Mus musculus: one gene and its partner. The protein of the gene in region 1 purifies or fractionates together with the protein of each later gene. This does not show direct contact. Links are inferred from orthologs where the notes say so. Each region holds a gene or a part of one and is shown on either strand. Other genes may lie near its edges.

Region 1 (5,834 bases):
GCACTCTCCAGCAGCAAGGAAACGTGCTCTGTTTTTCTTGGGCTGCAGAGTACGACTTGGGCGTCTCCCAGAAGGAGCAATGAGGATGTGGTCCCTTGGGGTGAAGTTCTAGGTTAGCCATTCACCTGTGTCACACTGAGCATTAGTGTGTGTGTAAGAGAGAGAGTGTGTGTGTGTGTGAGAGTATGAGTACGAGTGTGTGCTTGTGTGTATGAGTGTGTGTGTGTGTTAGTGTGGGTGTGTGTATATTGTAATCCTCCACCTGGGAACAGGGCTTCTAGTTTAAGTCTTGATGCAGTACAGGCCAGTTCCATTCACTGTGCTCACAGAAGCCCCAAGATGAGGTTGGGTGCTGAAGAAAAATAGTTAACTAGTAGGAATCCTTGAGTCTAAGGCATCTCTGATTTTTTTTTGGTTTAAAATAAATTGAGATCTTAATTTCTCTATATTACTCAGAATAAATGTGAATTTCCCCTTCTTTGCTAGGCTGGAAAGATAGTGACCTCAACGGTAGGAAGCCTCCCTCACAGGACTCTCATATGAAGGCTGGCCACTCAATACCTGTGCCTCAAAAGACTAAAAGTGACTTGGGATAGTGCATTTTAAATCCTTTCTACTCAATACCTATGGTATGGCTCCACAGTGCCTGGTGAGAATTCCAGGAGGAAGTAGATGATATGGGAGCCTATAATTAACACACTGGGGAGGTTTTAAAGAGGACTCACCTGAGTGCTTCCAACACGGAAAAGGACCTCTTGCCACCTCTCCTGTACAAAGGCTCATACAGGCTTCATTTCCTCTTGAGAAAGCATATGGGGTGGACGTTCTAACACCCTTGAGGAGCCCCTCAAGGAGTGGAGAGTGGGTCAGTAGCTAGTACTGAGTGCTGGGTGCTTGGCATACTGGGTTAATGGTATCAGCCAACAGACGCCTGAGTGTCATAATGGACATGTCTGAAGGTTTTTCTGACTGCATCTGAGTACGTTAAACAAGCCAGAACGTCCACTTTTGGATCACAAGTATTGTGAGGCAGATGAGATGACGTTTGAGGGTGCCTGGAACATTGATGCTGAGATAGAATAGAAACTGAGTGTGATAGAGGGGAGAGAGGCTGATAGCATGGCTCTCCACCATGTCAGATGCTGCCTCCTTTTTACATCAAAATTCCCTGTTGTTGTAGTGAAACTCATAGAGGATGTCAAACGAAGTTAGTTACTTAATCTACTTGAGGTGGGGTCTCTGCAGATCATAGACCTTGGAGTGCTGCTGAGCACCACTGTGCCCAGCTCAGCTAAGTAAACCGTGTGTGTGCAGATAGTGCTATATGAAGAGTTAGAGAAGGAGTTTGATACATTAGCAGCCAAGCACTGAGTATTTCAGTGTGTACATTCTGGTCTGTCTCCTGGGAGCGGTAATGAGCCAAGCGGATGCTTAAGCCCCTGCCCAGGTTTACCCTCCTGCAGTTGCTGTGCGTGTGCACTGGTAAAGACATCATGTGTGGTTGCTTAGATACCAGCAGCATTGCCGTGGTTAATGCTGTGTTTTTCCAAATATTGAACAGTTTTTTCTCAGCCAATGAATACTTCTTTATAAAAATTACCCACAGCATAAGGTATAGCCTTTATGTCACATTTACCGTGCTCACTCCTGGGAAATGCACTAGGAGGTTCTGAAGGGCAGAAACAGCTGGCACTGGGTTCTGGTGTGTGTCATTGGTTCTTGTTCTGTTTGTACTTTCTGCCTGGAATATCTAGAGAACATTGGTTCTAGAAGAGGCTGTCATGAATGAAGGGAGGAGTGGGGACTTGGAAAGCCAGAGGAGAATGCTAAGGATCCCTCCAGGGCCTAGGATCTCAGGAGGGAAGACAGTAAAGAAAACATGACTACCCTCTCAGCCCTTTGTATATGGGAGAAAAAGGTGCTTCTGCGAGGGACAGCGTTGGGGGCAGCCAGGTTGGAGTATTTGGAAATATGAGAAACACAGCTCAGGGACACACAGTGGTAGGAAGATGGACACTGAGCACAAGGTAGAGACAGTTACCAAGCTAAGGGTGGTTTGTGTTCAGAAAGTAAAGCTTAAAAATGACAACACTAAAGTTGAGGTTATTTGGGACTAGTTTCATGTTAGTGTTAGATGATTTGAGATGGGACAAGCTGGCATCTTGTCAGATGGGGAGAGGGTAAATAGGGAAGTGAAGTCAGTGAGGTGTTGGAGCTAAAGAAGCATAGCTTGATGTTTCCTGAGAGACAGAAAACGATTCAGTGTGGAACAGATTTGGCTTGAAGCATCTGTGGCCACAGCCAGGCTGAGGTACCTGCAAGCAGAACAAAAGCTGTTAGCCATTTTGCACACATACTATTATTGCAGTAGTTGGTTTGGTAGTGTTCTGTAACAGCCCAGGAGATGGGGGTAAGTCTGCAGGGATTTACCATACTCGGGAGTCCAGAGAGATTTCCAGTTTGTTCCAGGTTTCACAGTTCACTGATAGGAAGTGAAAGCTGAGTCTTTAAATCCCAGCAGCCTTTACTGTGGCTTGCCCAGGTGTGGCATCTTGTGTGTGTATGTTTGGATTTTCTTGTGCTGATCCGTTAATTGGTGACATTTTATAGTCAACCATCTTCCCAAATTTTGCCTCTTAAAAGTTTTTTGTTTTTTGTTTTTTTTTTTACTTTCTTATACATTCTAATTGAATGTATTAGATTACTGCTCTTTACCAGCCCGAGGGTTTAAACTCTGGCTTTCTGAACTGTTCCAGGCACTTTTAAAGTCTGTCTCTTAGGTGACTAATTCTCTCTTCAGTGTGTCTGATGTGCTGGTAACCTGCCTGAACATTCAGTGTCAGTCGTCCATATGTAGGTGAGCGCTGTTCTCTCCCCACAGACTCACCGTGTGAACCCACTTACTTATGTTCTCCTGGACAGTGCATGCTGTGGACACAGGCCTTCAGTTATTGATACTTCTTACAGACTTCTTACAGAATAAACACGTGCAATTGGTATTTGTGTACAAATACTTTTTAAGTGCATGTTTAAAAAGAGCACTAGTGTTTGCTGATTTCTGAAACCAGTCCTGATTGTAGCTTGTTTGTTGGCCAGGGAGACTTTGTACGGAAGTTAAAAGAAGATAAAGCCCCACAAGTGGATGTGGACAGAGCAGTAGCTGAGCTCAAGGCCCGGAAGAGGGTTCTGGAAGCAAAGGTAAGTCTTAGGATGCTAAGGCAGAAACGTCAGTAGGTGTAGGCTTATTCCTCTTTGTTTAATCTCTCCAGGTAGGAAAGATCTCAAAAGCTTTCTGAACAAGTGCCACTCAAAAGCTTTCTGAACAAGTGCCATTTGGTCTTTTTTTTTTTATTATTCATTGTGCCTTTTCCTCCTTCTACCTAACCAACTTCTTGTCTTCTCTGAGAGCTGCTCAAGGCTGTGTAGCTCAGTGGTGGAGCATTTGCCTAGCACATTAGACCCTGCTTCAAGAACGAAGTGCAGCTTACAATGCCCCGTAGTCTCTAAAGCTTCCGCACTACCTGAACCCAAACTCTCACTGTCCCCCAGTCCTAGACATAATAAAATACATGAATTTCCTAGAAGACATCATGCTCCTCTTTAAGAATTCACCTGGGATTAGATTTAATAGTTTTGTTATAATCTGTCTTATATTTAACTTCAGACCTTTTCAAACTGTAAACCTGCTAGCATTAAATTTAAATAGTCCAAGAGGTCAGTTTGTTTTGTTTTGGATTGGGGGAGGGTTGTCTGTGTCTGTCTGTGCTTCAGTGCCAGAGGTACCTGTCGGGTCCCTTCTTGCTGTCCCTTTTATTTTTTGAGACAGGCATCTCTCACTGGCCCTGGAGTTCCTCGGTTTGGCAATACTAGCCAGCCAGTGAGCTCCTGACATCCTCTGACTCCATCTCCTCAACGCTGGGGTTACAGATCCATGACCCCACACTGTGCTTTTATGTGGGTACAGAGGGGGCTGCTGAATTCAGGCCTGTGTTAGTCAATAGCACTTACCTGCTAGGCCATCTCCTGAGCCTTGCAGCTGAGGTTTTAAAGTGATGTCTTACATAATACATTATAAACTGAGATATTGCTTAAATTACTTCAAAGAAGTGTAGTAGTCCTGTCTGTTTTTTGTTTTCTTGAGAGCAAGTCTTACTGTAGTCAGTTTGACTTTAAACTCCTTCTGGCTCGATAACTCAATTCTGGGATTGTAGGCAGAAAGACTCCAATCGTAAGTAATCATATCTGCTACGTGAGTAGCAGTGTCTGCATTATTCAGCTTCCCATTGCTGTGAGCGACACATCTCAGGAATCAAAGGCTTATTGGGCTAGAGTGTCAGGCGTTATTGTCTATATTCAGCCTGTTTGCTCAGACCTGTGGTGCAAATGACATGGGGAGGGACACTGTTGCCTCAACACACACACACACACACACACACACACACACACACACACACACAGACAGACAGAGAGAGCGAGAGCGCGAGCGCGTCTCGTGGTGTTTCCATCACTTCCAGCAACACTGTCAACTGGAGAGCCAATGAGCCTTCAACTCTGAGCTGCTGGGGACTTTAAGATCCAAACTATCACAGCTTCTTTACTGCTGCTCAAAGTGTTTGTGGGGACTGAGGCCTCCACTTTAGCTCCTCAACGTCTTACATCTCTAGCATTTTATACTGGATTCTACCAAATTCAGATGTGTTAGAACCCCGCCTACCTGTCCAATTACTCTCTTCTTGTTTGCTCTTATAGGAGCTGGCATTGCAGCCCAAAGATGACATCGTAGATAGAGCAAAAATGGAAGATACGTTGAAGAGGAGGTTTTTCTACGATCAGGCTTTTGCTATTTATGGAGGTAGGGGGTGAATGAAGCCACAGTGAATGATGGGAAGCATGGCAGCATGGGGCAGACAGGGTGCTGGAGAAGAAGCTGAGTTCTATATCTTGATCAGAAGGCAGCCAGGACACTGTCTTCTGCAAGCAGCTGGGAGGAGGGTCTCTCCACGCTGAGCAGAGTCTGAGCTTGGGAAACCTCAAGCCCACCCCAACACTTCCTCCAATAAGGCCACACCTCTTAGTAGTACCACTTCCTTTGAGCCAAGTATTCTAAAGTGTGTCTTTGGGGCCAAACTTATCTAAATCACACTATGCTTTGTCAAGAGCTTGGCTTGCTAACTGATGTTTATTCAATTGTGTCAGATCCCATAAAGGAGAGAAGTCATGTAATTTACATTTTTGTTGTTCAAGAGTTGATATTTGCATAAACTCTTAGTACTCCCCACTCTGTTAATTACCCTCCCACCCCCTTGTAAAATTTATTTCTTTGTTTATATATTTTTTTTCTAAGACAGTTTCTCTGTGTAGCCATGGCTGTCCTGTCCTAGAACTCTGTAGACCAGGCTGGCCTCAAACCTAGAGTCTCCTTGCTTCTGCATCCTGAGTGCTGGGATTAAAGGTGTGTGTCACCACTGTCGGCCCTGTCGGCCTTTTTTTTTTTTTTAAATGGATAGTTTTCTTTTTTTTCTTTTTCTTTTCTTTTTCTGAGACAAGGTTTCTCTGTGTAGCCCTGGCTGTCCTGGAACTCACTCTGTAGACCAGGCTGGCCTTGAACTCAAAAATCCACCTGTCTCTGCCTCCCGAGTGCTGGGATTAAAGGCGTGCGCCAGTTTTCCTTCCCACTTTTTCCTCTCATCCATATCCACCTCCTTTCTGTCTCTCCCTGGAAAACTAACGGATATCTAAAGGTCAATTGAATAAATGTAATAAGAGAGGGAAAAAAAAACCCAGATTGGAATGGAATGAAACAAAACAGAAGAGAAAGCCCAAGAAGCAGATAA
Region 2 (5,834 bases), about 32 Mb from region 1:
GATTGTTGTAGTTGGAAAGGACTTATGTTTAAACTCAACCAAGAATAAATAGAGACCTGAGTGTCCAAGTAGAGTAGTGCTCTACAAGTGAGGAGACAGGCACAGGAGACTTGCTCCTTTCATCCCCCAGTGCGAGGGTAGTAGCTTAGTGGAGCAGAAGTCAGAACTGGTGTGTTTCCTCATGTACACGCTCACTAACGCTGTGCGCATCAGCTCAGAAACAGTGCTGGGGAGCGCCTGCTGACGCCGAGGAGACCACTAGCAGATTACTTACTTTTTCCCTGGAGAAGAATCCATTTATAGATTTGTATAGGTGTGGTGGGTGACAGAGATGACAGGATGACCACTAGGTCAAAGCTGGCCTGGGCTACATAGTAAAACCTTGTCTCAAGAAAGGAGGGCTGGGAGAGTGCTTGCCTCGCATGGAGGGGTCCTGGGTTCAAACCCCAGGGCAACCACTAAGACAACAACCGGAGGGGAAACACAGCGGGAAGCCTATGCGTAATGATAGCTCTTCATAGCATTTACCAGACTCTAATATTCGGTCAATACTTTTATCTCCTCTAGAATTCATTGTTATTCATAATGGAATCATCACCAACTACAAAGACTTGAAAAAGTTTCTGGTAAGCGAGGTGACCCTGGAAGACGCCGTCTTCTGAGAGTGGGAGGTAGTTTGTTGGGGTGTGCAGCGTTATGCGGACATGTTCAAGTAATTACCATAATTATCTCCAGGGTGTGGCGTTTCATTGCATTTCTCTGCTGACAGTGGAACAGAATTGATTTCTCTTTTTTTAATAATTTATTTTATTTTTATTTTATGTGCATTGGTGTCCTGCCTAAATGCACGTGTGTTAGGGTGTCAGAAATTGGGGTTACAGACTGTTGTGAGCCGCCATGTGGTTGCTGGGAATCGAATCCCAGTCCTCTGGAAGAGCAGTCAGTGCTCCCAAGTGCTGAGCCATCTCCAACCCCACAGTTCTGATTCCTTACATGGCATTTTGAGGACAAGCTTTATTCTGTAGTGTGACAGGGCCATCTCAGTGTCGTCTGTTGAGTTTCTGCAGTGATGAGAACTCTCTGTATCTAGCATTGTGGGAGCTGTGCCTATAGGACCGCTGAACTGCTCCGACAGAGAAACTGGGTTTTAAGTTTTAGTGTAAATAACCATGCATAGCTAATGGATCTTCATTGGACAGTTGAGGATCACCAAATAACTGTTGCTCATGAAATTAGTATTTTGAATATTATATATCCTACTATATTTTCATTACAGTTTAATTCATATGCGGCAAATCTAAGTTAAGCCTTTTGAGTTGTATTTTGAATTCTCTACAATCAGATTTTAATTTTGATTAAAATTAATTTTAATTATTTTATTAACTATATTAATTGATTCTTATTTATTAAATTTGCCATTATAAATTAATTTTTAGGTAATTTAAATTTTGAGTAGAATAAATTCAGTATGACATCAAAAAAAGTTAGTAATTAGTAAGATCTATTAGGTTGATGAGGTGACTCAGTGGGTAAAGCGGTTGCCAGCGGACAGCGGTGAGTTTGTTCCCTGAAACCCACAGAAAGGTGGACAGCTAAAGCTGATGATGCCTCATGGTGGTCCTCTAACCCTCAAGCACACACCATGGTGACACATTTAGCCTGTACTTACAGACCTACACACGCATATATGTGTGCACACAATTAGAAAGGCATTTGGTTTTTGAGAAAAAAAAATCCTAGAAAATATTTGCTGCCTGGGGGCTGGAGAGCTGGCCCAGTGGTTTAGAAAACGCATTGCTCTTCAGAAGACTAATTCCCATCACCCACAGGATGGAAAACAACTGTCTGTAACTCGCCTTTCAGGGGATCTGATGCCTCCTTCTGAGCTGAGGGCACCAGTCATATTCATGCACAGACATACATAAATGCATACAATAGAAAGAAAAAAGATAATGTTGTTTTTTTAAAGTGAATAAAAAGGGACCATAAAATTAAAAAAATTTAACATTGTATATATTTAAGTGTGCCTTTTTTCCCTTTTCTCTCCTTGTAGGAAAGCAAAGGCTATGACTTTGAATCTGAAACAGACACAGAAACCATTGCCAAGCTCGTCAAGTACATGTATGACAACTGGGAGAGCCAGGACGTCAGTTTTACCACCTTGGTGGAGAGAGTTATCCAACAATTGGTATTAAACCATACTCTTAAAGATTATTGTGTTAGGACTAACTGGGGAAATAACTCATCAGGAAAGCACTTGCAATGCAAGTGTGAGGACTGGAGTTCAGGTCCCCAGCACCCACATAAGTGCTGGGTGGCTATGGTAGCCTCTTTGCAGTTCCAGCTCCCAGGAGGTGGTGGGCCTGGATTTTGCAGCGAGCTGTCTGGTTGGCTACATTAGTGAGGCAGCAAATTGTGGGTTCAAGTGAGAGACCCTACCTTGGTATGTACGGCAGAGAACAGTGGAAGGAGACAGCTAGCTCAAACCTCTGTCTTCTACCCATACTCACACATGTGCCTACACACCTCCATTTATAACCACAGCCATGTATGCCCACACACATACTAATAAACGTGACTAGCACACTCACACATGCAAGAAAAAGTAATTATGCTAATATTGTTTTCAAGTAGCTTTTTAAAAATGTTTGATGAACAGGAACTATGCTGGGTTTTTTTTTTAACTCATAGGAGTCTAACATTAGACAGCTATATTTGTGAGATATTTTATTGTCAATGTGTGTGTGTGTGTGTGTGAGTGAAGGCAGGAGACTGGCATTGGGTATCTTAAAACTGTTGTTGCTAATCTTTCATGTGAGTACAAGGGGTCAGAACTCATGCTCTGTGGGTAGCATTTTTCCAACAGAGCCATCTCCCCAGCCCTGTGCTGGTCTCCTGAGTGCTTTTTTAGGCTTTTATTACACATTCCCAGGCGCACATAGACACACACATATGCACAAACACAATTCAATGCAGGGAATTTTGTAAAACTGTTTTTTGACTTAGTAACTTGTTTTCCCTGGATTTACCATTCCATTTATTTTACAATAGCTATATTCTAACTATTTCACTGTAGTTAGAGGGTAAAAAGTAAGTAAGTGTTGGTGACAAAATGGCTCAGTAGACAAATTGCTGTGCAAGGCTGGCAACCTGAGTTTGCTCTTCGGAATTCACAGAGGAGAGAGCCAACTGCAGAACTGTTGCCCTCTAACATCTACATGTATGTTGGGTTTTTTTTTTTTTTTTTTGTTGGTATGTGTGTATGGGGTGGGTGGTGCTCCAGTGTGCCTACATGCGTGAACCTGTGTACACACGTGCAGAGGCAGGTGTTAACAGGGAGCCATCTCTCCACCTCATTTTAATAACTATGGTTGTATATAGTTGTCAAGTCCAAGACTGAGGGTAGAAGGTGGAGGTAGTGGTAGTGGGTGTGATGGGTTTTGGATGTGGAGCTTGACTTTCTGTTGGCTCTTCCTTCCTGAACAGACAAGTAGTCTGAGAGAGATGTGTCTGTTGAGAAACATGCTAGGCACACAGGTGACTCTCCGCTTTTTCATTGAGTATTGGAACGGGAGCTTGGTGGTCAGAGTTTGCTCACATCAGAGCTCGAGTCAGTGTCTACCTAAGATGCGGGCTTGGATATTAGGGAGATCTTGCTGCGGCATCTAAAATGGAGACTTGTTAAAAACTAACTCAAAGTACACAAGCGTGAACAGAAGTGTCTGAGCAGAATGTTGTATGTCCGAAATGCTTTGTTTGAGAATCGCTAACGAGAATACTACTGACGCTTCTTTCCCCCATAGGAAGGCGCCTTTGCTCTTGTGTTTAAAAGTGTCCATTTTCCCGGGCAAGCAGTTGGCACAAGGTACAATAGGTTTTCTTTTAAGGACTAACGCTGACATGCGTGTTGAAACATTCAGGTTACAGGGTACTTCTCAGTAACCTGTGGGTGGCCCTTCACCGTTTCCGTAGAGGTCTATTTTTATTCTCGGTTCCTTCTCTCTTTTAACAGAGTCTCTTAGGAAAGAGAACACATTTTGGCATTGTGATTTGTCTTTGGTGAGCACGGTGGCTCTTTATGAATTTGGATATGGAATATTTTTAAATTTTATACCCAAAGCATTAACCTTCTCCATATTTTTTGGAAATGCGTGTCAGACAGATTCCGAAGGAATTGTAGAACCACTGGTTTTGCTAGGATGTTTAGAAATGATCATGAAATTCTTAGGACAGTAAGAACATTTAAGATCTGGGGGGCTGGAGAGATAGCTCAGAGGTTAATAGCACTGGCTGCCCTTCCAGAGGTCCTGAGTTCAAATCCCAGCAACCACACATAGGCTCAAAACCATCTATAATGAGATCTGGTGCCCTCTTCTGGCCTGCAGTCATACATGCAAGCAGAGCACTATACATAATAAATAAATAAATCTTAAAAAAAAAAGAAGAACCTTTATGATCTGAAAACAGAAGGTCATCTTTAATCGGAAACAGGATGCCTAAGGATGTGTTGGTGTCTGTGTACAATGAAAAGTTCTTCACATTAAAAGAACAGTTTAAAATACAGTGTTAGAAGATATGAGTTAGTGGAGTCGGTCAGACAGGAAATATTTGAGTGTGTTGGGACACATGGCCTCCCTGCCAGCACTCAGAGCCACTGTCAGGCTTGAATGAAAGCAGCCGCAGAGGAAGGGCTTCACTGTCTCAGTGAGATTTTAATGCAATAGTAATTTGCCAGTTGAAAATTGTTTATTAGAAGTAGGCAGGTGTGGCCTGGGAACTCAGTTTTCTAATATAGTTATTTTGTAGTTCAATTCAGAGGGGAAATTAAATCATTTGAAGAGCATTAAATTTCAAATTAAAATGAATTTTGAATTCATACTTAAAATGTGTATTGTTAGTGCATTATTTATGGAGAAGGGTTGATTCTGACTCGTTGCATTTCAGGCGAGGTAGCCCTCTCTTGATTGGTGTGCGGAGTGAACATAAGCTTTCTACAGATCACATTCCGATTCTGTACAGAACAGGTAAGTTGCTGCATCACGTTGTAAGTGTGGTGCGGGAGCTCTGAGACGCTGCTCCATATGCTGCAGTGAATGTTCTCCGGTCGGATCTGTGTGTACTGTGCAGACAACTACATAGTTCTGTCTGGACAGAAAAAGCTTGTTGTGAACACTGACGAGAGAATTTTTCTCTGTTGTACATCCTTAGCTAGGACTCAGATTGGATCCACATGGTGGGGATCACAGGCAGAACGAGGTGGGAATGCACTCTGCACGGATGGAAGGGTTTCTCCTGCTTCCTTCATTTACTAATTCTTTGTTTTTGAAATGAACAGAGGCTCTAAAAATGTGCTTACTTTATGGGGAAATGTTTTGGCACTTTTCTAATTTGCAGAATACATCTTGTCTGTTTGCTTTTGCCATTTCGAAAGTTGCATTATTTAATAACTGTTTTGCAAAAGGGGAGGTTTGAGGAATATTTCAAATAAAGGCTTTTTTTTTCTCTTTCCTGTTTTATTTAAAATGATATAGATGCATGCTTATATTGGGAAAGGAACAGTGAAGTATGCAGCCATTTCCTGAGACTTAGCCTCACTCTTGACTGAACTAGATTTAAATGGTCTTTATTTAGTGCGTGACATTTTATTGTTATATTTACATTGATATTATAATTGATTTTATTTAATTTGCAGCCATACTTTATTTTTTATGTTTGAGGGTTTATCATTATTTATTGGTCCTGGGGTGGCATTCAAACCCAGAGCCATATATATGCTAGGCCAGTATTCTACCACTGGCCTGTATCCCCAGCCCCCAGCCCCTAGGCTGGTTGTT

What was found.
Region 2: the proteins of Gars (region 1) and Gfpt1 fractionate together in Homo sapiens (co-fractionation; 3 studies listed by BioGRID, with this or other methods). This does not show direct contact. The link is inferred for Mus musculus from reciprocal best matches to the Homo sapiens genes GARS1 and GFPT1.

What each region holds. Positions count from the first base shown.
Region 1 is NC_000072.6:55,043,318-55,049,151, forward strand, and holds part of Gars (glycine--tRNA ligase), read left to right. Parts: intron 1-3,096; coding exon 3,097-3,198; intron 3,199-4,749; coding exon 4,750-4,852; intron 4,853-5,834. UniProt on the Homo sapiens protein: Catalyzes the ATP-dependent ligation of glycine to the 3'-end of its cognate tRNA, via the formation of an aminoacyl-adenylate intermediate (Gly-AMP).
Region 2 is NC_000072.6:87,055,577-87,061,410, forward strand, and holds part of Gfpt1 (glutamine--fructose-6-phosphate aminotransferase [isomerizing] 1), read left to right. Parts: intron 1-567; coding exon 568-626; intron 627-2,053; coding exon 2,054-2,188; intron 2,189-3,803; coding exon 3,804-3,865; intron 3,866-4,944; coding exon 4,945-5,024; intron 5,025-5,834.